7 linked regions of the Ovis aries genome follow. The protein of the gene in region 4 interacts with the protein of the main gene of each other region in a biochemical or structural test. Links are inferred from orthologs where the notes say so. Each region holds a gene or a part of one and is shown on either strand. Other genes may lie near its edges. The genes, in order: UBE2J2, UBE2E2, UBE2B, UBA1, UBE2T, UBE2J1 and UBE2A.

The links.
Region 1: of the proteins of UBA1 (region 4) and UBE2J2, one has a biochemical effect on the other in vitro, tested with the Homo sapiens proteins (2 studies listed by BioGRID). The link is inferred for Ovis aries from reciprocal best matches to the Homo sapiens genes UBA1 and UBE2J2.
Region 2: of the proteins of UBA1 (region 4) and UBE2E2, one has a biochemical effect on the other in vitro, tested with the Homo sapiens proteins (4 studies listed by BioGRID, with this or other methods). The link is inferred for Ovis aries from reciprocal best matches to the Homo sapiens genes UBA1 and UBE2E2.
Region 3: of the proteins of UBA1 (region 4) and UBE2B, one has a biochemical effect on the other in vitro, tested with the Homo sapiens proteins (10 studies listed by BioGRID, with this or other methods). The link is inferred for Ovis aries from reciprocal best matches to the Homo sapiens genes UBA1 and UBE2B.
Region 5: of the proteins of UBA1 (region 4) and UBE2T, one has a biochemical effect on the other in vitro, tested with the Homo sapiens proteins (4 studies listed by BioGRID, with this or other methods). The link is inferred for Ovis aries from reciprocal best matches to the Homo sapiens genes UBA1 and UBE2T.
Region 6: the proteins of UBA1 (region 4) and UBE2J1 form a complex in vitro, tested with the Homo sapiens proteins (2 studies listed by BioGRID, with this or other methods). The link is inferred for Ovis aries from reciprocal best matches to the Homo sapiens genes UBA1 and UBE2J1.
Region 7: of the proteins of UBA1 (region 4) and UBE2A, one has a biochemical effect on the other in vitro, tested with the Homo sapiens proteins (6 studies listed by BioGRID, with this or other methods). The link is inferred for Ovis aries from reciprocal best matches to the Homo sapiens genes UBA1 and UBE2A.

What each region holds. Positions count from the first base shown.
Region 1 is NC_056065.1:50,556,919-50,560,958, forward strand, and holds the start of UBE2J2 (ubiquitin-conjugating enzyme E2 J2), read left to right. Parts: upstream 1-1,240; 5' UTR 1,241-1,419; coding exon 1,420-1,497; intron 1,498-2,652; exon of another isoform or gene 2,653-2,839; intron 2,840-3,197; exon of another isoform or gene 3,198-4,040. UniProt on the Homo sapiens protein: Catalyzes the covalent attachment of ubiquitin to other proteins. Seems to function in the selective degradation of misfolded membrane proteins from the endoplasmic reticulum (ERAD).
Region 2 is NC_056079.1:42,012,424-42,015,923, forward strand, and holds part of UBE2E2 (ubiquitin-conjugating enzyme E2 E2), read right to left. Parts: intron 1,044-3,500; 5' UTR 1,036-1,043; coding exon 860-1,035; intron 1-859.
Region 3 is NC_056058.1:43,581,272-43,585,571, reverse strand, and holds the start of UBE2B (ubiquitin-conjugating enzyme E2 B), read right to left. Parts: upstream 2,801-4,300; 5' UTR 2,674-2,800; coding exon 2,630-2,673; exon of another isoform or gene 521-2,629; coding exon 440-520; exon of another isoform or gene 1-439. UniProt on the Homo sapiens protein: E2 ubiquitin-conjugating enzyme that accepts ubiquitin from the ubiquitin-activating enzyme E1 and transfers it to a E3 ubiquitin-protein ligase. In vitro catalyzes 'Lys-11'-, as well as 'Lys-48'- and 'Lys-63'-linked polyubiquitination.
Region 4 is NC_056080.1:57,623,805-57,627,996, forward strand, and holds the start of UBA1 (ubiquitin-like modifier-activating enzyme 1), read right to left. Parts: upstream 2,801-4,192; 5' UTR 2,694-2,800; intron 1-2,693. UniProt on the Homo sapiens protein: Catalyzes the first step in ubiquitin conjugation to mark cellular proteins for degradation through the ubiquitin-proteasome system.
Region 5 is NC_056065.1:79,694,581-79,698,647, reverse strand, and holds the start of UBE2T (ubiquitin-conjugating enzyme E2 T), read right to left. Parts: upstream 2,801-4,067; 5' UTR 2,748-2,800; intron 1,787-2,747; exon of another isoform or gene 1,676-1,786; 5' UTR 1,617-1,675; coding exon 1,508-1,616; intron 1,023-1,507; coding exon 953-1,022; intron 611-952; exon of another isoform or gene 1-610. UniProt on the Homo sapiens protein: Accepts ubiquitin from the E1 complex and catalyzes its covalent attachment to other proteins. Catalyzes monoubiquitination. Involved in mitomycin-C (MMC)-induced DNA repair.
Region 6 is NC_056061.1:48,178,242-48,182,505, reverse strand, and holds the start of UBE2J1 (ubiquitin-conjugating enzyme E2 J1), read right to left. Parts: upstream 2,801-4,264; 5' UTR 2,696-2,800; coding exon of another isoform or gene 2,665-2,695; intron 2,019-2,664; 5' UTR 1,690-2,018; intron 1-1,689. UniProt on the Homo sapiens protein: Catalyzes the covalent attachment of ubiquitin to other proteins. Functions in the selective degradation of misfolded membrane proteins from the endoplasmic reticulum (ERAD) and is essential for cells to recover from ER stress.
Region 7 is NC_056080.1:114,919,888-114,923,890, forward strand, and holds the start of UBE2A (ubiquitin-conjugating enzyme E2 A), read right to left. Parts: upstream 2,801-4,003; 5' UTR 2,661-2,800; coding exon 2,617-2,660; intron 2,496-2,616; coding exon 2,415-2,495; intron 2,052-2,414; coding exon 2,026-2,051; intron 1-2,025. UniProt on the Homo sapiens protein: E2 ubiquitin-conjugating enzyme that accepts ubiquitin from the ubiquitin-activating enzyme E1 and transfers it to a E3 ubiquitin-protein ligase. In vitro catalyzes 'Lys-11', as well as 'Lys-48'-linked polyubiquitination.

The sequences.
Region 1 (4,040 bases), on a different chromosome or scaffold from region 4:
GCCGGGGACCTCTGGGAGAGGGAAGTCACGCTCAGGGAAGAGCTGGCCCTGGACTCATCTAGGTGTGAGTGCGAATCACAGCTTCCTCAGTCATAGGCTGTATGACGTTGAACAAATTACTCAACCTCTCTGAGCCCGTTTCCTCAAGCACAAAGTGAGGCTGAGTTTCCTCTTGAGGCTTGAGACTCAAAGGTGAGACTAACCGATGCCATGGGGCCAGCGTCAGAGCCCCATCTTCCTGCTTCTGAGGAGGCTGCCCCAGAACCCACCTTTGGGAGGCCAGAGACACAGAGACTGTGTCCAGCGGCAGCAAGGCCAGCAGCCCCCTCCTCCCTTCCCTGCCTGACCCCTCTCCTGCCTCCCCAGGCTCTTCCAGTGACTGGAGGAACAGAAGGCACTGTCTGGGACCAGACAGGGCATCTCCAGCTCCTCACACAACAGGGGCTCGTGTGGCTGCTCCTTAACAGCTGTGTGTTGAGAGAATTAGAGAAATTATTTAGGGCCCTATGTCCCCCACCCTCTCTCCAGAGGGATGGCTGGCCCCAGCCTGCTGAGCATGGCCCCTTTGAGCCTTCAAGCGGTGGCTTTCCCTGAAGCTGGACCTAGGGATATCAATGTGCCTCCTTCCAGACTGTGTGCACTCAGCACTTCATGGGACCCCTGGGCTCTACTTTCACACCCATGGGTGTCTCCACCCTCAGAGACAGCTAAGAGTTGTTCCTGGAAGGATTCTGGTGCAGCAGCCATGAAGTCTGAGCCAATGGGCTCTGCATGTGTGCCAGATTCTGGGAGCCAGGAGCATCTTCCCCAGCCTGGGGAGCTGGACCATCTGGAGTCCCTGCCCACGGGCAAGTAGGAGGCCTCCTTGGTGCTATTGCAGCGCCTCCCTGTCCCCCAGGCGCTGACTGCAGTGTCAAGCAGGGATTCCGGCCACCACGGAGGGGGCTCCTTGAGGTACTGGCCACTGGAGATGGGCCGAGTGTGTGATGTTGCCCGTGTGGGGCTCAGGGTCTGGTCTTGTGTCTCTCTCACACCTGTGCTTGAAACACCCAGCGCCTCAGGGCAGCCTCCCTTACATAACTCTCCTCGAGCTAAAAACAGCTGGGCCCGCCCTGCGTGGGGATGGCAGAGCCTGGAGGAGGCAGAGGAGAGAAGGAAGCTTGAGATGTTTTCTGGGTGTGGCAGCAGGAGGTGGGGCCTGGGACTGTCAGCCTCCCCATGAGGAAGGAGGGCCAGGGCCAGTGAAGCTCACTCGCAGCAGGAGGAGGTAGCAGGCTGCTTCCCCGTGGCTGGCTGGCCTGGTGCTGGCCTGAGGGGCGATGGGCACTTCTGTTTCTGCCCCTGGGCCTGGGCCAGCACTGCAGTGACTGGTAATATCTTGTCTGAGGTGCCCCGGGTGGGCCAGATTCAGTGGCGATCATGGCCCCCTGTCTGCCCTCTGCCAGTAGCCATGGCTGGACCTGTCGGAGCTTGGAGTCCACTGTCAATCGTCATGTGGTTAGTAACCCCACTGACCGGTGGTGTATACTGAGAGGCAGTCAGGGTTGTGGTCAAGGGTGAGACTTTGGGGTTTGAACCCCAGATCTGCCTAGCGACAGCCTCTCTGGATTAGTCCCAGCTGATGACCAAGGCCTGTCTCACAGTCAGTGCAGCGTCTGCCCTGGCACAGCCCTGTGGGGGCACACCCCAGACCCCACTCACCAGGAAGGGTGGTGAGGAGAGTGCTGGCCCGCCCGCTGCCCAGCCCTCCCTTACCCAGACCCCCCACCCGAATGCCATCCTCACCTGCTCGGAAGTGTTCCCCCAGTGCTGTCCCAGAGACTCTCTGCTCCCCAGGGACTTCCCTGGGTTCCCCACCTCCCTGCTCTGCCTCCCCCTCCCCCAGGGCCTGGGAGGGGACCGTGGGAGCAGAAAGTGAGCCTCAGTGCAGCGGCCACTGCTGCATAATGACCCTATTCATGGGCTAGGCGGAAAATTCAGCCGGGAAACAGTGCAACTTTTTATGAGGACAGCTTTCCCCCTGGGCAGGGGCTGGGCAGGATTCCTACGCCGGACCCCACCTGGCACAGGTTCCAGTGGGGCTCCTGGCTCCACAATCACTGCGGTCACACAAGGTCACCCAGGATTCGATTCTCAGGGACCCGGGTGGTTCGGTCGCCGGGGACGCGGACTGCCTCCAGCGCTTCCCTGTTGAGTGGGCATAAGAACTGGGTCCTCCAGGCGGGACTGGGCCGATTCTTTGGAAGGGGGCGGTGGGAGGGTCAAGGTACCAGGGAACTTGGGCGGGGCTCATCCCGGAACCTCGGGGGTTACCCTCTAACTGGGCCTGTTTTCCCGCGGAAGGCAGGGGATCATGAGGAGGGGAACGTGCAGGGTGGGGGGACCGGGAGCTCTGCGACCGCTGACAGCGATGTGGCCGAGGGACCAACAGGACGGCCAGCCGTGGCTGATTGGACCAGACCTGCCTGAGCTCGTTCTCCGCCCCTCGGAGCTGTCTGTCAGTGCGCATGCGCCGACTGCTTCTGCCTCCCGGGAAGGGAGGCGACAGCGAGATGCAGGCAACCTCCGCCTGGCCGTCTAGAGCGGCCGCCTCAGCTAACCGCGCCCCGGAACTGGAAGCGCGACTTACCCCGCCCCGTGGGCGGCCATCTTGGAAGCTGAGGCGGCAGCAAAAGCGGTGGCGGCGGCGGCGGCGGCGGCGGTAGCGGCTGCGGTCGGGTGGGCTCGCTCCCGGCGCGGTGCAGCTCTGCGGCGCGGGCCCCACTCTCCGCTCCCTGCTCCGGCCTCGACCACGGCGAGCCTGAGCGCGGCGGCGGCCCACGCGCGGCGACGGGGAGAGGTGAGCGTGCGCCGCGGGCCTCCGCCGGGGCCTCTTCCTCGCGTCCGCCCCGCCGGAGCCGGCCCGAGCGGGGAGCGCGGGGCCTCCGCACGGCCCGTCCTCGCTGCGTCCGCGCTCGCGGGGCCTGGCCCGGAGCTTCTGTGCGCGGAACCCGAGGTCGGTTACAGCGGGGCGCCCGGGGCTCCGGGCCGGGTCGTCCCCCCTCCGGCCAACTTGGGGATTCGGGTGGCCACACGGCTGACGTCCCATGGAAAGGCTCCCGTTAGTGGCACACTTGCGGGCGCCGCCAGGACCAGCCGGCGTAGAGCTTGGTTTGTAAACGTATCTTGGGAATCGGTGTCGGGGTGGGCTGGCTGCCGTTGAGCCCGCCGCCGCCGCTTCATCTCGATCAGTTAGGACCCCAGAACGCCTCTTAAGTTCCCCGAGCCATGAACATCTGGGGTGGAAACAAAATTCGGGCGGTCAGACTGGGAAGCTCCATGCTGGGTGGCTGGAGAGGGCCCTGGGCCGGCTTCTCGCCTATGCCTGCCTGCTCTCCCCTATGCCTGCCTGCTCTCCCCGTCTGCCAGTTACCTGTCCCGATCCACCCCTGGTCAGGTGTACGCTTCTCGCCCCCTTCCCAGTTAACACCACTTATCTGGACTATGTTTAGTTCACATCCATTCTCAAACTCACGCCGGGCCCAGCCTGAAAATGCTTAGAAAGGTCCCCGGGCAGCCCCCAGGGAGTTAATGAGGGCTTGAGAGTTCTCTGGGCAGTGGTCAGGGCTCTGTTATCTCTAGGTGAGGGGCCCTCGGTGTAACTTTAGGGTCTTGCTTACTTGAAAAGCCCAGCCTCTCTGCAAGTACTGTTGGATGCCAGTGCCTAGAGCTAGCACTCTGTCATCTGCACACCTTAGCCGAGCCGACCTCTGTGCAGGTGCGGGAGTGGCACGTGCGGTGGCCCCCCGTCAGCTGCGGGCCTCCATCCAGCCTGTGAAGCAATCCCACTGGTGAAGGGAGAGACTTCCGTGGGAGTCCTGGGCACGGGGGTGTCACGTGCGCTCTGGTGGGTCAGACCAAGGTCTCTGGGCGGAGAGAAAGGAGCCGAGCAGGCAGTGCTGGATGAGGGGCGAGTCTGTGTCCACGTAGTACTGAAGGGACTCTTGCCGGGATGTTGGTTCAGGCTACTGGCCTTCAGACTGTCTGCCCTGAAATTTTGT
Region 2 (3,500 bases), on a different chromosome or scaffold from region 4:
CTTCCTTTGGGATTGGAATAAAAACTGACCTTTTCCAGTCCTATGGCCATTGCTGAGTTTTCCAAATTTGCTGGCATATTCAGTGCAGCACTTTTATAGCATCATCTTTTAGGATTTGAAACAGGTCAGCTGGAATTTAATCACCTCCGCTAGCTTTGTCGTAGTGATGCTTCCTAAGGCCCACTTGACTTTGGACTCCAGGATGTCTGGCTCTAGGTGAGTGATCACACCATCGTGGTTATCTCAGTCCTGAAGATCTTTTTTGTACAGCTCTTCTGTGTATTCTTGCCACCTCTTCTTAATATCTTCTGCTTCTGTTAAGTCCATACTGTTTATGTCCTTTATTGTGCCCATCTTTGCAAGAAATGTTCCCTTGGTATCTTGAAGTGATACCAATTTTCTTGAAGAGATCTCTGGTCTTTCCCATTCTATTGTTATTAATTCCTGCATTTCTCACTTTACTAACAGTGAGTGAAGATAATCATTCAGTAACTATTTCAATAGACTCCCACTTTTATTCTCTGCTGCTCAATAAACTAAAATAGTAATGGTCTAAGGAACCATAAAACAAATTATCACACTTTACATGCACTTTCCTATTCATATTCACCTAACAATACATACACACACACTACGGATACGTAGTTTATAATTTTGCCATGCTGTTTAATTGACTTTAAATACCAAAAAGTTCATACTGCATACAATTAAAATCATGAAAAAGAAATAATCTTGAAGAAGAAAAAGTCCATGAACTTCATGGTCCATATCCCAGAAAAATGATTAAATGCAAGAGAAAGATAGAACTTCAGGTCATAAATTGATACTAAAAGCAAGGAAGTTACCATAACCGAGGTACCTTTTAGCACTAGTGGACAACTTAGCAGCTGTTTTGCTGGATATCTTCCCTTCCTTTTTCTTGGGCTGAACTTGTTCTCTCTCTGGTTCCTGTTGGACGCTTTCACGCTGGTCTCCATCGGAGCTTCCCCCACTAGTGCCTGGACTGTCGTCAACTCTTTGTGCCTCAGTGGACATTTTAGATCCTGGATTAAAGAGTCAAAACAAATAATTTATTCAGTTGGGGGAGGACTGCAGAAAGGTCGCTCGAGAACAGAGAGAAAGTGAATCTTACAGGAACCAAAGAAAACTCACTATAAAATGAATGACTTGGTCACTTTACGTAACAGCTTTGGGAGCTGCCAAAACTTTTCCTTCATCCATTCAAAATGTATTGAGAAAAGAAATGAAAACAAATATATATACACAATATGTTCACAGCAACATTATTCACAGAACCAAAAAGAGGAAGCAACTCATTTACCCATCAGCTGACAACGAACAGATAAACCAAATGTGGGATATCCGAGCAATGGAATGCCATCCAGCCACATACAGGAATGGAGTACCGTATGTGCAAGCTACGTCGTGGATGAACTTTGAAAACATGACGTTCAGTGAAAGACACCAGGCACAAAGGGCCGCAAACTGTACAACTCCATTTGTCCGAACCGTCCAGAACGGGCAAGTGCATGGAGACGGAAACGTCAGGTAAGCGATCGCCAGGGGCCGGGAGGGAGGGAAGAAGGGGAACGGCACAAAGCTAGGAGGTGCAAAGTTTCCTTGAGGGGCAATGGAAACGTTCTTGGATTAGATAATGGTGATGCACAACTCTAGATATTCTAAAAACCGAGCTATACATTTTAAGAGAGTGGATTTTACAGTACATGAATTACATGTCAATAAAGCGTTATTGAAAAAAATAAAACTGTGCTCCCCACCAGGCACTGTGCCGGGCTCCTGGGTCCTAGGATATGCAAGTTGATTCAGAGGTCAAGACGACTTGCTAGGTGCTGTAAGTCAGTAAAAATGGCCACAGGAGCAGAGAATAGGGCAAACACTGGCACCAATACTGCATGAATACATCCTCCGGCTGGGCTAAGGTTAAATCCTCTAAGTCAGTCAACTGTCTGAAGTAATCTTTGTGATAGCAGAGGCCTCCATGATTCTAAACAGAAACTGATAAAATAAAATAAAATAATAATAATAAAAAATAAAAATAAAAAAATAAACAGAAACTGAACCGTAGGTCGGTGCCAGCCCTGATCCCACAGTACACCAAGCAACCAGGCTTCACAGGCGATGAAGACTGTATGGAGACTCTGAAGGAGCCCATCTTTCCCGCCGCGGCCGGGATGAAATATACCTCGAGGCTTTCAAAGTCCCTTTGCTCCACATGCAACTCTGATCACCAACTCAATCTTCTCAGGACCTTGGTTCATGGGTAAGCTGTCACAATCTAGATAACGCACAAAAAATTCCAGTTCTCTCTTGGCAACGACCATTCTATCATCATTGATTTCTGAGTCTTATTACCATGAGGACGTCCCCTGTGACCCAACTAGCTTAGAGTTTACTGACAAATCCAAAACCAAACGGACGAAACCCATGCCCAGACTGTCACCATGTTGCTGTCCCCTCAGCACCACCAGAGCTGGCACGCCTACCTTCTGGGGCGCCTCTCTGCAAAACACAGAACTACCTTTAAGGAGCGCCACCAACAACACAAAGTACACCTTTAGGAATCCCAGGTAAATGGGGACAAATGCCTTCTGAAAAAGATACTGTGTAGCTCTTAGTCAAATTAAGACTTAAAATAAGACTTACTATGTAAAAGAAAGATGCCTCGAATAAAGCAGTTTGATTACTACAGCTGGTCCAAATGTAGAGTGAGCTGACAATAACTAAAATTCTTTCTCACTCAAGATTTAACTTATAGCTCGCTCTATTTCACTTGTAGCTTGCTCTAAATCAAAGTGATTTCGTAACACAGAACTTGAAGTGGTTGAAATGAGAAAGGTTAAGACAAACCTGAAAGAGAACTGAGGAAGCGGGAAGCAGAGGGGGCGAAGAGCCAGCAGAAAATCCTGAATACCTTCAATAAGACATCACAAGATACAGCCCCATCACCCTCACCAGCTCCCTTTCTTCACGCCAGACAAAACAGGTCTGCCCAGACAGCTCTGAAGCAGGGGAAACCCGTCGGCTTTCCCTCTCTTTAAATAGAGCACAACAGTCTCCTCAGCTGGAGCACTGGGGTCACTTAATAGAATCCTGAGGTTTTATATCAGTATGTTCCACATCCAGCTCGAACAGGCCTATCATATTTCTTGCTTTCTTTCTTATTTTCATTTTTATTTTACTTAGAATTCTCATCCTTGGATTTAACGCTGATTTTTTTTTTCAGCTTACTTCTTTGAGTAAAAAAATAATAATATGAGTTTAAACCCTTGTAAGTACATACATAAGAGCCTGTGACAACAGCTGTGCACGGGAGTAAGAAAGAGTAGTTCTTAGGGAAAGGCCCTCACATGCAGCAAAACGCTGCTGGCAATATTTTGAGATATGCGAAACGATTGAGAAATCCTTTTATATGTCTTAAACAAGAAGCAATCCATTAGATGACAAATACACAAAAACCTAAATGAAGTAAAATTCTTTTT
Region 3 (4,300 bases), on a different chromosome or scaffold from region 4:
TCTTATACAAATACGCCTACATGCAATACATACTATATGTAAAATATAAGACTGCACCTTGAAAGGCTCCATACAGTTATTTCACATTAAGCTGTCAAACATTTTTTATTTAAATTCTTACTATGGTGGAAGTTATCAATATTTTTGGTTCCTACTCTTTTTACAGTTCTAGTAGAATACATACTAAGCATTTGCTTGGCACATTTTGTACAAACTTATCATTCTCCTGTAGTCTCAAATGATATTTTTATCAAATAAAACCCACTGATTATAAAATCAAATTTTATGTGACTGCCAAAACTCTATCAGAATTTTTTTTAAATCTTACAGTTTCTGTAAGATCCCTCATCCCTAGGAAAGTTTCCCTTCCTAGCTGTTATACATTCAATTTTCTTAAAAGAATCACCATACCTACCATTTGTTATTTCTTTCAACTCACCCAAATATAACTGCATTCCACTGCATGATGTTGTTTTCTGATGGTGCGCCACTGACACCCACAGGTGGGTCCTCTTGCAATCTAGAAATCCAGAATAGAAATTTTAAAAGTTGAACATTAAGGCCACTAAGAAGGCCAGTCAAACATCTTTCAACCATCTACTTTGAGAAACAAACTAAATCCATTTTCTTGTTGTGCTGAGCTGGAATAAACCATACCACTTTAAATGGCTTGGGAGTCATCCCTCTTCAAATATCACCAAGGTTAAGATATCTGTTCAAGAACTACTTTTAACAATAACAACAAAGGAAAAACCTCAAGTGTAAAAAAACACTATTTACTCAACTATCAATTTTGCTACTGTAAACATGCAAAGGCTGTGTGAGTCCTAACCAAAGCTACTTGGGCAACATGGCCACCAAAAAAACTCTCCCCCAAACAAAATATAAAGACCCCACCTCAGTGTAAACATTAAATGACTGAAAAACACTTGCATCCAGTTTAATCAGGAAACTAGTTTTGGGCAGTAGAACTACTTTATTCCATTTGCGTTAGCAGCAGCTTTTAGAGTAAGCAAAGCTCTGGCTAGGTTTTCCCTCAGTCCCTATTTTAAAAGCTCTGCACCAATACTGCATTTTACCTCTCAGATCATGCGCCCATATACAGAGCTACCTTCCAACACCTGTTACAAACTCTTGCAAAAGACGACCCTTGGAAAACTACCGAAGGTGCCAAGCACACAACTCAGAATTAAGCAGAGAACTGCAATGAGAAACCAGGGTACCAAAGGCCAGGAACCTCGAAATTTTATTATTGGAATTTCACTCATGGGAGCTAATCTGAAATCTATGGTTTCAAGCTGTAGAAACAGAGTTTTGCACAAAAAGGAGTATCTCCTTTTAAAACTGTCATCTCAGGAAAAAAAGTAAACGCGACACTAAATATACACACACACACACACACACACACACACATAAACACACCGTCATGTGATATGATTCTTGGAATTAGTCCCCCAAAATGGCTTTTAGTCAACCTTAAGCAGTACAGGCCACGACGAAAAGAAGAACCCTTGGAAGATACGGGGCGTGATATCGCCCACCAAAGATAAAGGCTAAGTTACCAATACACTCAAGGCCAAACTGGGCAAAGCCCCAAACAATGGCTTCCAAGTGCCTCATTTAAAGGTTTACAATGAAGTTGAGAGGTTACTTCCTGATAAGCCAATCCAAGTTTTTACACTGGATTTTTTCTCTCGAGCAGGGCAGATCTCCCTAGAAAAACACTTATAAATGCGCACGGGAGCGTAACGCTAAGTTTTCTTGGTTATTTTCTTCTCCGTACCTGTAAGCATTCAAAGTAAAACAACTGGGGGGAAAAAAGTCACTTCCTCCTCATCAACCCTAATATCTAACAAAACCCTATTTTACAAAAGAGGCTCAGGGAGTATCAGCTTAGCCCCAGCCTCCAGAAAGGCATTTTTCCAGACCTTGGAGGCTATAGATAGGTCTTTACACACCAGGCCACAGAGCTGAGTTCCAGAAAGCACTGGCAGCCGGGTTTGCCAGCCCGAATCGCAGCCCTCTAAGCCAGTTCTCAAGGTCCTTTCAGGCGGGCGGGGAGGGATTGGGGGGGGAAGAGTCGGGTTTCGGAGGATGGGTTAACAACCTCCGGCCCTCGCGCATCAGACCCCACCCTCACTGCAGAAAGAATGGGGAGGGAGGCGGGGGTTGGCCCCAACCCTGGCAGTCGGAAAGGCGGCAAGGCCATCGAACAAAGCTGACTGGTGTAGCTAGCGGTGGAAAGGCTTCTGCAAGGGCTCGCTCTTAGGGCAGAGAGAAGAGGCACCGCAGGGTGCAGAGGCGAAGGATGAGATTTGAAAGCCAGGGCGAGGTATCAGGCAACTGGCCGCAGTGGGCAGCAGGGAATCGTAGGACAAACCATAGCCATCTTTTTACTTTTTTGTGGGGGTAGGGTGGTGGTGAGGAAGTATCAAAATTTCTTACGTAGGACAAGTGAACAACCAAGGAGAAGAGAGTGCTAAAGCGGGGCTGGAACTGGGCTTCCATCTGTCCCCCTGGGCCCACAGCAGCCCTCTTAGGGTCAAGAGGGGAAGGTGTCCCGGATCCCCACCCTAGCCCCGGAGCTTCGGGGAGGAGTCGTCATTCAGGCGAAAATGAAGGCCCTTACCTCTTGAAATCCCGCATAAGCCTCCTCCGGGCCGGGGTCGACATGCTCCCCAGCAGCCCCGCGGTCAGTCTGAAAGAAAAGAGTCCCGCGCAGCCCCCCCACCCCCCGGCGCGGCGGCCGAATCACTGTGGGTCACCGCCGCCGCTGCCGAGGTTGCACAAACAACCCTGCAATGACGTCTCCCTCCGCCGCCTCCAGATCCCTCCGCCCTCCGCCGGTACCATGCAGTGAGGGGTGGGGGAGAAGGGAACGGGACGTAGGAGAGCTAGTTACGGGGCCCCTTCACCAGGGACCTTATCCCTTTTGTCTCCTTGAACGAATTGACCAATTACTGTTCCTTATGCTCAGACTGGAGGTTGTGATAAAGAAGTACCGGAACTGAAACAACACCAACCCGTCTCCCCCTCTTTCACTAGTTTAGGCTCAGCCGGGTGGGGAGAGAGGGACGCATCCGGGGCCAGAGATTTCAGGGAAAGGAGGTAGGATGACGTAAGATCACGTGACTGCCGGCGGCGTTGTCAACAATCCACCTCCGAGGGGGAGGGGACGAAGTATCTAGAACCACGTGTCCCTATGACGCCATTAGGACGGATCACGTGAGAGCGTCTCCTGGATCTAACTTTCAGCCGTCTTTCAGCCCGGTAGTTAAATTTATGGGCTGAGGGCTGGTAGGCACTTTTATGTTTTTTCTCCATTTTGTCCTGTGGACAGCTATTGATGAGATTGTGTCGGAAGCAGTAGTTTGTTTTGCTTCTTAAATCTTTAAAATAGAGCCCCAAATAATTTGGATTTAAAACTCCCCTCTGGTTGGCTCAATGGCTTATCAAATCTGGCATCTGAGGAAAAGTGAAGGGACCTCCGTTTTCCTCAGCTGAATGCAGAGGCCCATACAAAGCGAAATCCCCTGAAATGCTTCCTTAGGGCCACCAAATATTACTGTATGAGCATTGCAGTGTGTTTCCAGGGTTGGCGATGCTGGGCAGAGATTAAAGAACGGTGTACAGATTGTTTAATGTTTGTTTACAATCCCCACAGGATTACGGAATTTTGTTTATCCTTTATGAGTCTGCTCTTATTTGAGGCTTTGTGTCAGAGTCCTTGGATTGGTCTACAGTGGGGTACCATTGTATTTGTCAAGAAATGTGCAGGTTTGATCATAGAGAGTGTGTATAAAGAGAGTGTAGGTGACTAGTTGCCAAACCTAAAAGTTTGACTCACATGTGGGGGAGAGATCATGCAGACGTGGATAGGGGTTGTATATCTAGCCTGAGTAATTTATTTCAGATTTTCAACACTAGTAAGTTAATAGCCTGAAACGTCCCCCACCGGGGCTCAGAGATACTGGCCGTTGGAATTCTGACATTATTTCTAGTCATTGAGTTTCCTTCCTCTATCGCCTCCAATTCTGTTCTTAAAGACTTTTTTTTTGGCTGAACCCTGAGCTCTTTAAGTCCATTTGGGTGATTCCTCAACCCAAGGTGTTACAGTAAGACAGAATGAGGAATATGGCGTTGGGCATACTTTCATTGAACTAGAAAGGGTTAGTTTCCCCTACTTTTCTGGTACCTCTCTTTCTTCAATCCCTGAATTCTTTCTCTTGCTTTTATTAAATGCCTTGGTAATCAAGTTAGCCAGATCTAATACTTGATAGATACCCACCGACAAATGTAA
Region 4 (4,192 bases):
TAAAACATGGAAGCCACACCCCGATGCTCATGAATAATGAATAATCTTGCTGCAGCCTGGAAGCCAAGGAGACTGAGGCGACATCTCATGAATAATGCATAAGGTGGGCAAGGACAAAAGAGACAGGTCCGCCCACTGCTGCATCTGATACCCTGTAAACAGAGAAATAGGGCTAACACAAGAAAACACTCTCACTGGCTCATGAATAATGAATAGTGATACTGCTGCAGCCCAACCTGGAAACTCAAGAGAGGTCAAGAAAGGTCCCACCCAGTTACTGATGAATTATGCATGAGGCTGGATGGACAGAAATACTCCAGCCAGCCCTGCCCAGCAAGTAAGGATTATTGTATTCCAGCCAAGGCAACGTGGTCACCGCTTCCTGTTCATGAATAATGAAAGATGCTGCAGAGCCGCAGGGGAAACCCACGGGGAAGTGGAGCTGCCTCCTCCCCACCGTTAACTAAAAGCACGTGAACCAGAGCTGCTTTGGTCCACCCAAATCCAGGTTTACTACCTGCGTTTGGCAGTTGCCTGTTTCTACAACCGTAAAATGGGGGTAGTAGTAGAATCCACCTACATCATAAAGGCAAAATGTGTCACTATGAAAACCAGAGAGTATAAACTATGAAATTAACTCAGAGTAGTGCTGGCACAGAGCGCTGTTACATTTTTAAAGCATTATATATTAATGTAAAGGTAACATGTAAATATAATATTTTGTATTGATATAAAATTAGTTACAGGTGAAGGTATACCCAGACACCAGAGAAACCCCCAACTTGGGGCATTATATAAAAAATAATGCCTTGAAACACCCTTCCAGATTTACACTGTAAAACAGAGCACTAAGGCCACCAATGTTCATTAAATAGGTAGCACAGACTACCAGGTCACCAGAGACACAACTGTATACCAAAGCCCCAGGCACACGATAAACACCCACTACATTTCTTTTTAATAATAACCAATCGCCTGCCATGTGGTGGTTCCTTTGGTGAGTCCTTTCCATGCGTTGTGCCACTAGTCTCAGGAATGCAGAGCAGGGAATCACTTCCTTCAGGTCTCAGGTCAAAGGAGACCTCCTGAGTTCTCAAATCCTCACAAAAAATCAGTTCCACCCATCGATGACTAGCTTTGTGACCTGGGACCAGACAGTTCTCTGGGCCACTGTATCCCCACCCATAAAATGAGAACAATAGTAACCTACCTTGTGATGAAGTTTAAATGAATAAACATGTAGAAAGGGCTCAGAACAGTGCCTGGCCACCTGGTGCTATATGACTAAAAGTAGTAGTAGTAGTAGTAGTAGTAGTAGAAGTACCAGTGAATTGGGTGGGTGGGAGAGAGACATTATGGTATTTAAGACTACAGACTCTGGAACTAGACTAACTGGATTTCAATCCTGGCTCAGCCACTCACTAACTGTGAGTAACCTTAGGCAAATTACTTAGCCTCCTGGTGTCCCAGTTTCCTCCTATAAAGTGGGACGATAATAACCTACCTCCCAGGGTTGTTGTGGGGATTAAATGGTCTAATAAGGCTGCTAAATGAGTGCAAACTAACCTGATCACCATTATGCTCAGACTCATTTTTTCAAGTTCACAGATCTGCCAAAGATCACACAGCTGGCAAGGATAGATGTGACTTGAATCTAGAGTCTTTGTTGATAATCTGGGATTATCGGGCCGCAAAGAATGAACAATGCGCCAGGCCTCATCCCTTCGTGAGACGCAAAACTTTTAAATCCTGAAACCTCTTAAGGAAAAGCCAACAGCGGATCGTGCCGTTGAAGCCCTAAAAGCTACGCCCCTCATGAATTATGCACAATGCCCCTAGACAAGCCACAGAAAACTCGGGCCGCTACTCACCTTCTTAGGCTTTATCAGTGTGATCTAAATTTACCCGGCAGACTGCAAGGCGCCCCTTTCAGCACGCCCCTTAAGCACAATGAACCGCTCCCTTGTGAATAATTCACAAGCTGATACTTCCAACGAACCAGGTGCGAAAAGGGCCAAAATGGTCTTCCTCAACAGCTCATCTCCTCACGCATAGCGAATAAAGCCATGGCAAAGGAAAGCCGGTGACACTCTGTCCCCTCGGAAGAGCCTAGCACGCTAGGCTCCAGCGTCCCTTCTACAGCCTGGGCTGGGGGCTCCTCTTCCTAAAACAACATGTGGGCCTCAATGTGTCCGGTCTCTCAGCCTTTAATACCCAAGCGCGGTGAGACATCATAATAGAAGCAGAGGTCACAAAGGCCATTAGATATCTCCACATGCCACGTCGGTCCCGCCTGTTCCCACCGTCACCAGGACCCTTCCTGAATCAAGCCCTTCCCAAATTCCGCCTTGAGTTCAGGAACCTCAAACTTTGCCTCTCCCCTTGGGAAGCACACCAAATCCTACCTCACTGACAAGAGTATTCATACACGGATCCTAAGGGTCTCCCCAAACATCCCCCTAAACCCAGTCTCTAAGGGGTATAAACCCTGCCTCCGAGGGACGCTCAGAAAACAGACTTCAAAGTCCCACCCCGGAGTCCCTAACGCCACTTGCGTCCCCTCAAAAACAGCCACCTCTAAATGCCACACGGGGCTCAGAGCTCCCAAATATGCCCCTTCGAGGATCCCAGAAATTGAGCCCCCTCCTTCGAATGCTGTTCGGGGGACTGGGGGGAACCTTCATCCAGCTCACCCCCTGTGCCGGGCGGAAGCCTCGCCTTCCTGCTGGAGATGAGCCGAAGCCACGGGGCAACGGAAGAGCAAATCACCTCAGGCGTAGAAGAACCAGAGTTTGCGCTGAGCTCAGAAGCGCGGGGCCTTGAGGGGGCGGGGGGCCGGTTTGGGACGTACCACAGATGCCAAGCTAGAGGGGAGCCCTCCCCTGATCCTGCTCTCTTGGAGCCTGTGTCAGACCCAGACACCCCTATGAGTTGTGGTACTTCCCAAACGCGCGAGGCATGCTGGGGGTCGTAGTCCAGTTGGGCCGGTGCCTGGTGCACGTGGTGGGCAGGAGCGCCCAGGGTACTGGAAAATGTGAACCTGGGCTGTGGAATTCCGGGAGCTGTACTCAGGGGGGTGGGGTGGGTAGGAAAAGGAATCAGAACACGGAAATAACTCCAAATGGAAAGGCACATTCATCCTACAGATGGAAAAGCTGAGGCTCAGGTGACCAAAGGAGTTCATTCATTTGACACTTATAGAGCTCAAACTGTGGGCCAGGTGCTAGGCATCTTCCTTGCTCTCAGGGAGCTGACAGACTAGAGAGACAGCCCATAAATGTAAAAATTTTATCTAATAAAATGTATCAATATTTGTAAATGTTACATGATAACTAGTATCAATATGTAAATAATTTACATCTGTAGGGAATTCCCTGACAGTTAGGACTCCGTGCTTTCACTGCCCAAGGCTCAGGGCAATGACTGATGGGTCAGCTAAGATCCTACAAGAGAGCAGTGTTGCCAAAAAAAAAAAAAACCCTACATATATAATAAATATATACACACTGTGTATAGTCTATATTCATATGTGAATATACAATTAAATAGACATGTAAATATGTGTTGTGTATATGTGATAACTACTACGGAGAAAAATAGAACAAGGTAAGGGGAAATTAGGCTTCCCAGGTGTCGCTAGGGGTTAAGAACCCACCTACCAGTGAAGGTAGACATAAGAGACACAGGTTTGATCCCTGGGTCTAGAAGATCCCTTGGAGTAGGAAATGGCAACCCACTCCAGTATTCTTGCCTGGAGAATTCCATGGGCAGAGGAGCCTGGCGGGCTACAGTCCATGGGGTCTCAAAGAGTCTGACATGGCTTAAGTGACTCAGCATGCACAAGGGGAAATCTGTGGGGGAAGGTTGCATTTTTAGGTAGTCTGGTTACAGAAGGCCCTCCAGAGAAGGTGTTGCTCCAGCCAAGGTAATTAACACAAAATGCCTTTATCACCTTATCCCAAATTCTGTATCACATATCCTGTCCTCAAATCCTCCAAATTTGCTCATCTGAAAAAGATTCCTTGAGTGCCTACTAAGTGCAGGGCTCCGGGAACATAGCAAAGAACACAGCAAGGAGACTCAGTTCAGTTCAGTCACTCAGTCATGTCTGATTCTCTGTGACCCCATGGACTACAGCATGCCAACCTTCCCTGTCCTTCTCCATCTCCCGGGGCTTGCTCAAATACATATT
Region 5 (4,067 bases), on a different chromosome or scaffold from region 4:
TGAAAATTTACAGTACTGAAAACCCTTTCACCCACCACCTGGATCAAGTCCCTAGCCCTTGAAATACTTCAGCATGATCTCCCAAGAATAAGGTCCCTCTCCTATAGAGCTGCAAGATTGTCAGTACACCCATGAAAAAAACAAAGGTTACCCCTCAGTCTCACCTGCCGCTCGGGCTTCCTCAGTCTCGGCTGCAGGTTTTTACAGGTGGATTTTGAAAAACAGGGCCCAATGCTGATTTGTACACTGCACCTGGTTACTCTTTCTCTGGCGAGACACACACCTTGGAAAACCCCTGTGTGTCTCAGAACTGACATCCCTGGGATTACTGACCTGCTTCTCTTGGGACTTGTAACAAACCTGGCCTGTGAACAGGTGTCTACAAACCACAAACTACAACCACTGCCCCTGATGAGAGTCTTACAGCACACGCGCATGAACAGGGCCTCCACACAGGCCGGGGGGCCGGGGCCACGGGGGCCGGGCGGGGACAGAGGGCTGGCGCTTGGGAAAGAAAAAGTTCCTGAGATGGATGGGTTGGGGTGGCTGGACAACAGTGGAGTGCATCCACGCCCCAAAACCATTCACTTAAACAGGGTGTGAGTGGTCAGTTTCTGTCTGTGTTCCTGCAGTGACGTGTGTGTTGCCACAGTGACGTGTGTGTTACCGCAGTGACGTGTGTGTTACTGCAGTGACGAGTGTGTTACCACAATGTTTTGTGTGTTAGTGCAACGGTAAGCCCAGGGTAGGGGAGGTGGTGTTAGATGTGATCTAACCCAGGTTTAAGAAAAAGAGATTGAACTCCAAAGAGAAGGTGCTGGAGGTGACAGGAAGTCCTGAGGAGATGAGGACCGAGATCCAGGCCCCGTAAGCCCTGTGCGCGACGCTCCACGACACTGCTGTCTTCCAGCAACTGGTTTAGCCTGGAAATGTGAATGTAGCTCACACTGACCTCTCTGGAATGTGAACTTCCAGCTTGAAAACACCTTTTTCATAAGGTGTGTTGGCTCCACCGAGTATCTCTTGAAAGAAAAAGAAACAGTGAAGAGGTAACTGGGTGCCTGAAGCAGCTCACCGCCTGGTCCTGACGGGATGCTAGGTCTGGGACAGCTCTCAGGGTCTGACAAGCCCCCACACGAGGCGCCAGGCCGGGCTGGTGTCACCCAAGGGCTACGTGGGAGATCTGGCCACAGGCGACAGATACCTGCAGCCCTGCTGGGAGGCCGGCTGCGTTCTGACCACGTGCTGCCTGGTTTGGCCTCACAGATACGTAAAGGTGACGTAACCGTGGTGCTGAACTGCTTCAGAGCTGATGCTCAGGTCTCGGAAATAAATCAGCAAGAGGTGGGGTAAAAGGCCAAAGAAGAAATGCCCTGGAGACCTTTTATAAAGGCAGCAAACGAGGCAGGCAGATGCACTTGTGCCCTATTTGGAGGAACAGATGGTGTTCACATCCCCGCGCAACTGTGGACAGGCTCGAGACCCGCACGCCTGGGGTGACACCTACGTGCTCGCAGGTCTTCCATCCGGTCCCCGTCCTGCCAGCACGTGATGCCCGGGGGCGGCTCCGCGGCCAGCAGGCTCAGCTCTCGCTTCAGACGCGATGTTCTCTGCATGACCTCAGGCAGAAGCACTCAGTCTGCACTGGCTGGGATCCTGGGGAGAAGAGGGGTGCCTGCCAAGGGTCAGCAGCAGTGAATTCTAGTGCCGGCTCAATTCACTGAAGGAGACAGCCCTCACATCACTTGCTTGTTTGAGGAGTCTTGAGTTTTTTCCCTCGTGCTATCTATTCAAGCAAACACATTTTAAAAATAAAGTATAAAACAATGAGAAGTTTCTACAAACAAAACACTGAAGTTCTAAAGCGAAGTCGCTCAGTCGTGTCCAACTCTGCGGCCCATGGACTGTAGGCCGCCAGGCTCCTCCATCCACGGGATTTTCCAGGCAAGGATACTGGAGTGGGTTGCCATTTCCTTCTCCAGGGGATCTTTCTGACCCAGAGATGATGGGAACCCGCAACTCCTGAATTGGCAGGCGGATTCTTTACCACTCAGCCACCAAGGAAGTCCCAGAATTAGCAATACTACAGGCAAATTAGTATGTTAGAACTAATCACTACAACAGCCATTCATGTCAATTATTCCAAGTTTCTTCATCCGCGTCTTGAGGACCATCATATCATCTCTGGGACCCGGTTATCTTCCTGGGTAGTTAACTACTGTTATACACTGTGGCGCTCCTAGTAAAGCATCCTCTTGCCAATCCAGGAGTCTCGGGAGACGCTGCGTGGCTCCGTGGGTCCGGAAGCTCCCCTGGAGGAGGGCACGGCAACCCGCTCCAGTATTCCTGCCTGGAGAATCCCACGGACAGAGGAGCCTGGCGGGCTACAGTCCATGGGGTCGCAAAGAATCAGATACGGCTGAGCGACTGAGCTCCGTTTACACACTGACCCTGACTGCTCCTCTCAGTAAGCGGGCACTGGGAATCAGCAAGGATAAAACAACAAATATAACAATTAATGAGCGTCGGGGGGGGGGGGCCGGGAGCAACCGGTGGGCGTGGCGGCTGGGAAACGGCTGGGGCGGCGGTGGGGCGCGGGCCGGGCCGGGGCAGAGCGCCAACCGCGCTGCCAAGACATGCAGAGCGTCCGTTCTACAAGCGACAGTCGGAGAAGAGGAGGCTCCGCAGTCAGGCGGAAAGAAGGCGCCCCCAACCCCGCCACCCCGCCCGCCCGCGGCCTCTCTCACCTGCGCGGTCGCTCCCCGCAGTGCAACAGCCCCGAGCAGCCGGCACCGCGCCTGCGCGAGCCCAGCCGCTGCCTTGCCCCGCCTTCCGCCCGGGAGGCTGTGATTGGTCCGGAGCGCCGCCCGGGAGGCGCGCAGCCTCCGATTGGCCGGGCTCCGGGCGGGCCCCGCCCCCGCGCTTTGAACGCGAGCGCGGCTGGCTGGGACCGTCGAGTCTTTGGCTCGCTTGGCCCGGGAGGAGGCGCGCTGGGAGGGGCCGGGAGGGTCTGTGCCGGAGCGGACTGCCGTCCGGGTGTTCGCGCGGTGGGGCTGCCGCCACAGGACCGTGAGACCTGAGAGCCCGAGGAGCCGGACGTTCGGAGCGGGGTTCCGACTGGGGGCGCCCGGCGCTGGGGCCTCCGCCGCGATCGGGCCGCGCCCGCCACGCCTCCGGCTCGGCAGCGGGAGGAGCGGCCGGTCCTGCTGGACCTTCCCGCGGGCGGTCCAGTCGGGACCTCTGCCGGCCCAGACCGGCGTTGAGTAGCCGTGGTTCCGGGTGGCCGCGGCGTGGGCGTCCTCTCGGCCTCGCTGGCGCGCGGTGCTCCCCGGGCTTGCGGGCCCCGCCGGGAGCCGCGAGCCACACGGGACTCCCGTTCCTGTCCAGTCAGCTGTCGGTCCGCAGTTACTGCCAGCGCCCACTCACTGCGGGGACGTGTTTTCCGTCTTAACGCTGGAGTTGGCTGCCTGTCTTACTACTGATACTTTCTATTTTGATCTCTTCAGCATGGTTCCTTATTTTCCACCTCAGCTATAACTGTGTCGCAATTGCTGTTCTGTCTTCGGAACTGAAGTTAACTCCTTCCTCCGGCGGTTTTCTGAGAACGTGCTGTGGCTGTGTTGTGCTCAGTCGTGTCCGACTCTCTGCGACCCCGTGGACTGTAGCCCTCCAGGCCAGAACACTGGAGCGGGTAGCCGCTCCCTTCTCCAGGAGATCTTCCCAACCCAGGGATCGAGCCCAGGTCTCCCGCATTGCGGGCTGATTCTTTACTAGCTGAGCCACCAAGGAAGCCCAAGAATACTGGAGTGGGTAACGTATCCCGTCCCCAGGGGATCTTCCTGACCCAGAAATTGAACTGGGTTCTCCTGCATGGCAGGCGGATTTTTTACCAGCTGAGCTACCAGGGAAGCCTGGAAATCTTTAACACGTCCTTTAGACGAATCAGGCACCATGCTAACTCTGGTGGAAAGGAGAGATGGTATGATGAACCAAGCAAAGACCTGTAGTTTGGGGAACCACAGAAAAAACGGGATAACAGGGAAAAGAAAGAAAGAGTCCCATGGGCG
Region 6 (4,264 bases), on a different chromosome or scaffold from region 4:
CCCATGTCTCCTGTGGCTCCTGCACTGCAGGCAGGTTCTTTACCACTGAGTCACCAGGGAAGCCCATGGATAGAGTAACTCCTATATTTCTGATGGAGGTAATGGGTGCCTTTGCACCAATTTCTTATATGCCAACCATCTGCTGAACGAGCAGATAGGGCCCTTCTGAAGAAATCTTGCCACAGGAAGTTCTTTATACTTTATGTCCCCTTACTTTGTACTCTGAGACCCTGATACTTAGACCAGAAGAGACCCAAAAAAGAGAGCAGGGTGCCTGATCCAGAAGCAACTACTGACAGGGTAGTCAGAGGCTTAAGAGGTAACCTCACATAGAGTTCTGCCCATTATCACAGGTCCATTCTAGAAAAATCATTAAAAATACATTGTTCCATCTATAAAATGAACAAATTTACTATCCATATGCTAACAAACTGGCCTTTAACCAGTTATTTGTATTGTCTTAATTGTCCCATCCATATCTCTAAGACAATTCCACGTCAGATAGAAAAAGGGTTATAGCTCTTACATTGTGCAGCGTTTTTAACCACTTCCTTTCATGCATTCATTACCTTAAAAAGTATTACAAGACAGAAAAAAAACAAAAAAAACATTTTCAAAAAAAGAAAACATTTTCACTATGCTTTCCGCACTTTCAATAAGTTCCATATTTCGGCTAATTCACTTTTTCTGTGAACACCAAATGATCTGTAGAATTAAACCAAAAGTTTAAAAAAACTCTTCTTTAGAACAATAGCACTACCTCTGAGGAAATGAAACCGAAAAGACGAAGCAATTTATTATACAGCTAGAAGCATGTCTACCAAAGAAAGCTCAACCAGTACCTACCTTACAGTAAGTCATACAGTGTAGAAACAGAAAAGAATTCTTAAGAATTTTAAAAGCTTATCACAGTCTCGGGTACAATAACCTATCAAAATTCAGCAAAGTCCTCTGACAACACTCTCTTGGGACCCACCAACACTCCATTCCAAACTGCACTATTACTCATTTTCATTATTCTCTGGACATTCCACTAAATACCTCGGCTGTCTCAAGGAACTTGGTACCATGTGACCGAACAGTCACCCTACATTTTCCCCACATATTTTTATTAAAATCTAGCACAATTTTCACATTCTAAGCATTCCACCATCTAATCTTAAAATTAAGCTTTTCTTTCCCTCGTTCTCTTTCATCTCCCTTTATTCCCCCTGGCTTAGGAGATGGGTTGAGGATGGCAGGGGTGGTGAATCCACTGAAATTGAATCCTATAAACGTATTTCTTGGAGAGTCCAGACCCTTCCGCGGATTTTTTTTTTTTTTAAGTCTATGGCTCCCCCAAACGTTATGACTGATTCTTGGTTACCGGAGAACGTTTCTTAGCCTGACAGAACTCAAGTTAACAAAGCTCTGTTCAATCAGTATCCTCAGGCTTTTCTTCAGTTTTTGTTATGTTTTTAAGTCATTAAAAAAAAATCCAAGATTCACAGTATCAACTCTCTCCATGAGCATGTTAATCTTGCTGATTCTTACTGAGAAGTCGCTTCTTCGGAAGGAAAAACAAAAAAAAGAACCAATAAAGGTTGGCCAAACCATCACTAAAATCCTTTATTAGGATTATTTAGACCTGAAGTGTGGAGTTTCTCCCTCTGAACAAATTTATCAAGGTACAAATCCAATACCACTTACAGAATCCAAAGGTTTGTTTGAAGCCTGTCTTAATCTGAGAGCTGCTTCCTTTTCGTGCTTCTTAATTTTGTTGTTTAGTCACTAAGTCGTTTCTGACTCTTTCGCGACCCCTTGGACTGTAGCCCGCCAGGCTCCTCTGTCCACGGGATTCTCCAGGCAAGAACACTGGAGTGGGTTGCCATTTCCTCCTCCAGGGGATCTTCCGGACCAGAATGCAACCCGCGTCTCCTGCACTGGCAGGCGGATTCTTTATCGCTGAGCCATCAGGGAAGCCCGCTTCTTTATTATACACCAGAAAAGTATTTGAGGCTAGGATTGTTTGGCTGCTTCTGTGAATGAAGCAGGGGTATTAAAGACAGGAAGAGAAGTTTCTATGCCTGAACAGAGACATACATACATCATACCAGTATGGCTAAAATCTTGGTTAGTTCTAAAGTACATGGCTCAACTAGTTTTCTTAGCTTTTTGGTTAACCGCTTTAGTCCGGAACATTTCCTTTATGTCTGTAATTCTATTTGCCCCAAAGGCTGCAAACAGGACGTTTAAACGAAATCCTCAAATGAGAGTGAGTCAAACAGCTAATAAAAGTCCGGTGGCGGCGACGGAGAAGAGCTAACGACCGTGTTCAAGGCGCAGGTAGGGCAAGGGGTTGATCTCTATTTCTATTACTCACGGCCGTCACCATTACACCTGTTCTCGGGGACGAGCTGATAACCCAGTTCTACGTGGCGAAAATGAGGGAAGGGCAGTCGGGGTGCGGAAGGGAGACCCCAGGTTTTGTGCCTGCCGGCCCGCCCGGCTCCGCGGCCTGCACCAGCCCGGCAGGCGGCGGGCTGGCGTAGAGCGCGGAACCGGGAGCGGAGCGGCGAGTGGCGGCCGACGCGAGGGGACCGCGGCGCGGGTCCCCGGGGTCCGGGGTCACTCCCCCATCGCGCTCACCGTGCGGCACCGCCCCCTGCCCACAGCCCCGCTCACCCGGACTCTTCAGGTTGTAGCGGGTCTCCATGGCGGGGGGCTGGCCCGGCTCCAGCCTCCCGGCCCGCCGCCGCCGTCGCCGCCTCTCCGCGCCGCCGACTCCCGCGTCTCAACTCGGTTCGGGCCGACCGGGTCTGGCCGAGGAGCCTCCGCGGTGGCCGCCCCGCCCAGGCCGGGACTGCGGGCGGGGCGGGAGGGCGCGGGCTCCGCGGTGGCGCCGCCTCCTGCGCTGCTCCCCCGCCTCCCAGAGGGCCGGGCAGGCGCCGGCGCCGGCCGGGGTGTCGCTGAAGCCGGGGCTGGGCTGGAGGTCAGCCTCCTCGTCTGGCCGCGGGCCCAAAGCCGCCACGGCCGCCCGGCCTGCGTCACCCGCCCTCGCCCAGGTTTTGTGAAGTTGTCCTGACGTGGCAGTCGCTTCGTGGCGGGGGCGCGGCTCGGCCGCTGGTCACCTCCCCGGTCCCGCGAAGCGCACTCCCGGATCTGCAGGAGCGGACGGCGCTCAGGTCTTAGCCTTGCCCGGGCCCACCCGGGCTCCCCAGGCGCTTGCGGGACTTCCCGCGGAAAGGCGCGGCCCGAAACGCCCCGACCGCCCTCGCTGCGGGTGGATCTGGGCCCAGGTCCTCGAGACCAGTTCAGAGCCACCCCAGCCCGTCGCCCGTGTGGGCCGGCTACGCCAAGTGCTTTGTTTTCAGATCGGTAGCTGTTTGAGGTGGAAACAGTTAAGCAGGAAAGGAGAAATCCAGTGATAAGAGAATGAGAAGGGTTTTTATAACATTTTTTTTTCCCCCAGACAAATATGCTTGGGTGCAAGGCAGTTAGTTAAGCATTTGGGGAGATTTTTTAAAAAGAATTGAATCGGGTTCGGAAGCATACATATATGAAAGGTATCCCCTCAAAGAACACATTTCGGGCTTCATTGTAGAAACTGACGTCACGAAAAAGACGTAAAAAGGGACAAGGATTTAGGAAAAGAGGGGGGATTGGGACGACGGAGAGGATGAAGAGGGAAGGAGAGAATTCTATGTGGAATGAAGAGGGTTAACCAGGCTGGGCAAATTTTATTTTGTTATATAAAAATAGAAAACTTTCTTTTTGAAAGGTAACAATATGCCACCCCAAAATATACCTCTTTGGCATAAGGATTATCTTGAGCTGAATATTTTTGAGAAAGAGCAGGCACAAGAAAATCTCTGAAAATAGAGTATAATTTATCGTTTCCTAAGGGGCCGCAAAGAGTCGGACACGACTGAGTGACTGAACTGAACTGAAGGGAAATTCACGTTTTTTAAAACATTTTTTTTGCTGTGCTGTGCTTAGTCGCTCAGTTGTGTCTTCTTTCGACCCCATGGACTCTTTGCAACCCCTGGACTGTAGCCCACCAGGCTCCTCTGTCCAAGGGGATTTGCCAGGCGAGAATACCGGAGAGGGTTGCTATACCCTCCTGCAGGGGAATCTTCCCAACCCAGGGATCGAATCCAGGTCTTCCGCATTGCAGGTGGATTCTTTATGGCCTGAGCCACCAGTGTCTGAGAAAGTTGATGGAGGAGGTACTAACAAATCTTCGAAACAACCTTTATCCCTGTTTCCCTGTGCCCTTTCATTA
Region 7 (4,003 bases), about 57 Mb from region 4:
TGTTCCTAATCGGGCCTTTCCAGTAAATTTCCTAGCTATAAATAACAAGTATTTTTAAATGGTCAAAAAAATTCTTGTAACCTTGGTTAGTGTTTGAGACACCTGAGGAAGCATTCATGGATAGCAGACTGCTCAAAAGAATGAATCAGAAAAGGGTACTGTCATTCAGCCTGAGTAATTCCTTTCAGTAATGTCAGGGTGGAGAGACACATCATCAAAAATAGAACCAGTAATGTCAAGGGGGAAGGTCCAGGTAGATAATGGATTCCATAAGTACTTCTCCAATTCATACCACTTAAAGCGAGAGAAGCACCCTTGAAATATTTAAGTTGCCAACCCCTAGCAAAGCGATGTACTATTAATAAAGTTGCGCCCAGCATAAAGCAGTCCGAATAAAAATCAGGAGGAAAAAAGAAGCCAATGAAAATAATTTGCTTTGCTGGAGCTAAAGCAAATACACAGCTAATCTGCACATAAAGCTTAAGTATGAAGAACCAGCAACCGATCTAATGGAGGAAAACTAAGCCTAGCTAGCTTCTGCTATGGATCAGAATCAGTTCAAATGATTTACCTCACACACCAAAGTAGTATGCCTTCAGGATCATACTCCCTTGCTGTCATTTCTTTTTATCAAAGCACTGAAGAACAGTGATATTTACCCAGGAGGTGAAGGCAGAGAAGAAACAAACCACCTAGATTACTGTTTACAATCTGCTAGGGAAATCTGAGTGTTTGAGACGAATCCTAGAATTGGTTTGTATTCATTTACCTCACAACATGCTGTGGTTGGTAACATCCAAAGGCAATCTGACTTGGCAACTTTGCTTGTACTGAGTAGTTTGTAGAAATGCTTTTGTTGCCACCTTCAAATGGAGGTGTATGCATATGTGTGTGCATATGTGTGCAGATTTCTCTCAAAGGCTATATGACCAAAGGAATATAAGGCATTGAGAAGAAAATAAATAACAGAAAGACCCTTTTCTGTTTAAAAATACCTCAAATATTAAAGATGTCAATCAGTAGTTCAAATACTTTTAATCATCTTTTTAAATGCATTAAGCTTTCAAAAGCAATTAACTATACACACACATACACACACATTTGAGTGCACATAAAACTATATCTATGTCAATTTCCTGGTTGTGCACAGTCATTCCAGATGTTACCAGGGGAGAGGGGGGAACAGGTGAAGGGTACACAAGGTCTCTCTGTATTATTATTTATTACAATTCCACACAAATCTATAATTATATCAAAACAAGAAGCTTTAAAAAGTCCTTAAAAAGCAACTTAGTGTGTTTTTAAAAGTCAAACCTAAACCTAAAAATCATGTACCTGTAAGTACGTGTAGTATCTTGAAGTAGGTTGGACACTGGTAAGAGAGTACTTTAAGGCTCCCCTCAATTGTGAAACTGCCTTGAGATTACTGATCATAAAGTCTTGATAAAAGCACACGCTGAAAACTCATTTAAAAATAAGAAACAAGGAACTGGCTATTGAAGGTGCCATTAAAGACCACTTTAAAGCAGTGAGGCTGAAAAGCACTCAATGTCAGATTATAGAAACCAGACAGTTGTGTGCAAGGGATTCCTGCATCCATTCAACATCCAACACCACACATGAGGCACCTGCTGAACACAGTTCCCACCCTTGTGACAGAATTCTGAACCAGACAGTCCCTGGGGTCTCCGAGTTGATCAGCAAGTGGTTGGGTTGATCCTGATGGAGGGGGTGGTGGTCCTGAATTTAGCAAGATCACAACCCAAACCTCACAAACCCTTAACATCAGTGGTATTATGCTCCTTTTAAAAAGTGACTGCCTTACTCAGATTTTTTTAAGCAGCAGTTCTAGTCAAGCGGACAATAGCCAGAACAACCTGCCACAGACTGGACTCCTCTCAAGTCTTTAGCAGGCAAAGGCTAGGGAGAAGCGGGTTATTAAGTAGGAGGCACTTCCAGGCTGACTGGGAAACACTTTCCCCAGAAGATCAGGGTCCCAAAAGGTGGGTAAAGAAACTCTCTTACCATCCTCAAACGGGGTCCCTTCAGGCCTACAACACAGAGAGAAACAAGTCAGTTCCCACATCAGGGGCTCCTCTCTCCCCGGTTCATCTGTTCGCCCCACCTCTGGTAAACCACCGCTTCCCGGGTTGCAAAGCCACGACCAATAGAGCTTTGGGGCTCAGAAACCCCAGGCAGGCCGAAGCGCCACCGCTCCCCGCCCCGCCCCCCTCCGAACCCCAAACGGTTCCCCTGGCAGCGCGAACCGAGCTAATCGAGGCACAGGCTCCGGGGAGGCGCCTAGGCCCAACGAGCCCCAAACCTTCTCTCTCAGTCCCCGCCTCCGCACCGGGTGGGTCCCAGAGGGCACACGGGTCCCCCGGCCCTCACCACCATCCGGAACGCAGACTCACCCAAAAATGACCGCGTTCCAAACCATGATGTTGTTCTCGGACGGAGCCCCGCTGACTCCGGCAGGAGGATCCTCCTGTAACCTACAGGGAAACACCACAGGAACCTCCCGCTATCCTGAACCCGCCGCCCGCCCGGCCCGCTGCCGGCCCCGCCCTGTACCCCGGCGGCAGCCCCCGGCCCCTAGAGTCCCGGGCGGGTTACCTCTTGAAGTCCCTCATGAGACGCCGCCGAGCCGGGGTGGACATGTCTCTAGCGGGGTCAGGGGTGGGGCATACACCGAGCTCTCGGGTCCCCGCGGGTGGTGAGGAGGCTGAGGAAGCCGGAGGAACCAACGGAGAACCGCCTAGAGGAACCGCACTGCCTCTCCTAAGTCGAGGGTCGATCTGGCGCCGGCTTAGCACCACCCCAGAGTAGACCGGGGCTGAACCAACCTGGAAGGAAACGACGGGGGTGGAACGCCAAACGCCGGACAGACCGTACCAAGACGGGACAGGGGTGGGGGGGGGGAGGAAAGTTGCTTAGGTCATTAAACCCCTGAGGGACGGGGGGAGCGAGGGTGAGAAGCAAGCTGCGGGCCTCATGTAATTGCCGGGAACTCAATAGGATCGGGTGGTGGAATCGGTCCACCTTCACTTGCCAATTCTAAGACGAACCGTGGGAAGCTTTTTTTCTACTTTTCCTTTTTCTTCTTCTTCTTTTTTTTTTTTTTTTTTGAGATCAGATCACTTATTAAAGTGCGCACAGTGGCTGAGGGGGAGAAGGATGAAGTCTCAATCTCAATGAGGACAGAGTGGATGAAGGCGAAACCAGTTCTCCTAAAGCCAGAAATCTAGGGGGTACACCTCCTACGGACACGGGAAACTGGGGAGGAAGCTGTGTGACTGGTCAAAATCACTGAACATCCAAAGAGTAAATCGACCTCGATGGTGAGGTCGAGGGTCCCTTCTCTATGGGATGAATGTGCGGGCCCCAACATTTAGGCCGATGATCACCCCCAAAGCAGAATGAAATGGTGATGTGTGTCCTGGGGGAGGGAATGAGAGCTGGAGGCAAGCAGAATGAGGCTTTAGCTTTGGGCACTCACAATTTGGCTCTGGAACCACATTTCCCCTTGACAGTTCAACAAGCCAAGTGGCTACTATATGTTCAGAAGAGTCCAAGGGTATGAGAATATCCGATTGCAGAGAATTGGAAGAGCAGTGAGTCTGAAGTAAAAGGAACGGTAAGATGCACGTGAAAAAGCTGTAGGTTGCAGGGAAGAGTCACAGTTAGTATGTGGACCTGCAAAAGCAATAACAGTTTTAAAGAATGTTTTTTAAAAAGGTCAACTCCAAATAACATAGAAGGTAGGCAAAATACTCATTTAAGAATTTTTTGGAAATATGAGAAAAGTAGGTCTAGGTTCACTCAGGGAGAGTTTTGAATGCCAAGCTGATGGCTTCCTTGGAAGTTGGTTGAGCAGAAAGGCAACATGATCAGAGCTGTACTCACTGGAGACGGGTCCCAGGACAGCAATTAGAAGACTCTTGAAGTATTCCAGGTGAGAGGTAGTGAACCAGGCAATGACAATAAAAACAGACAGGACTTG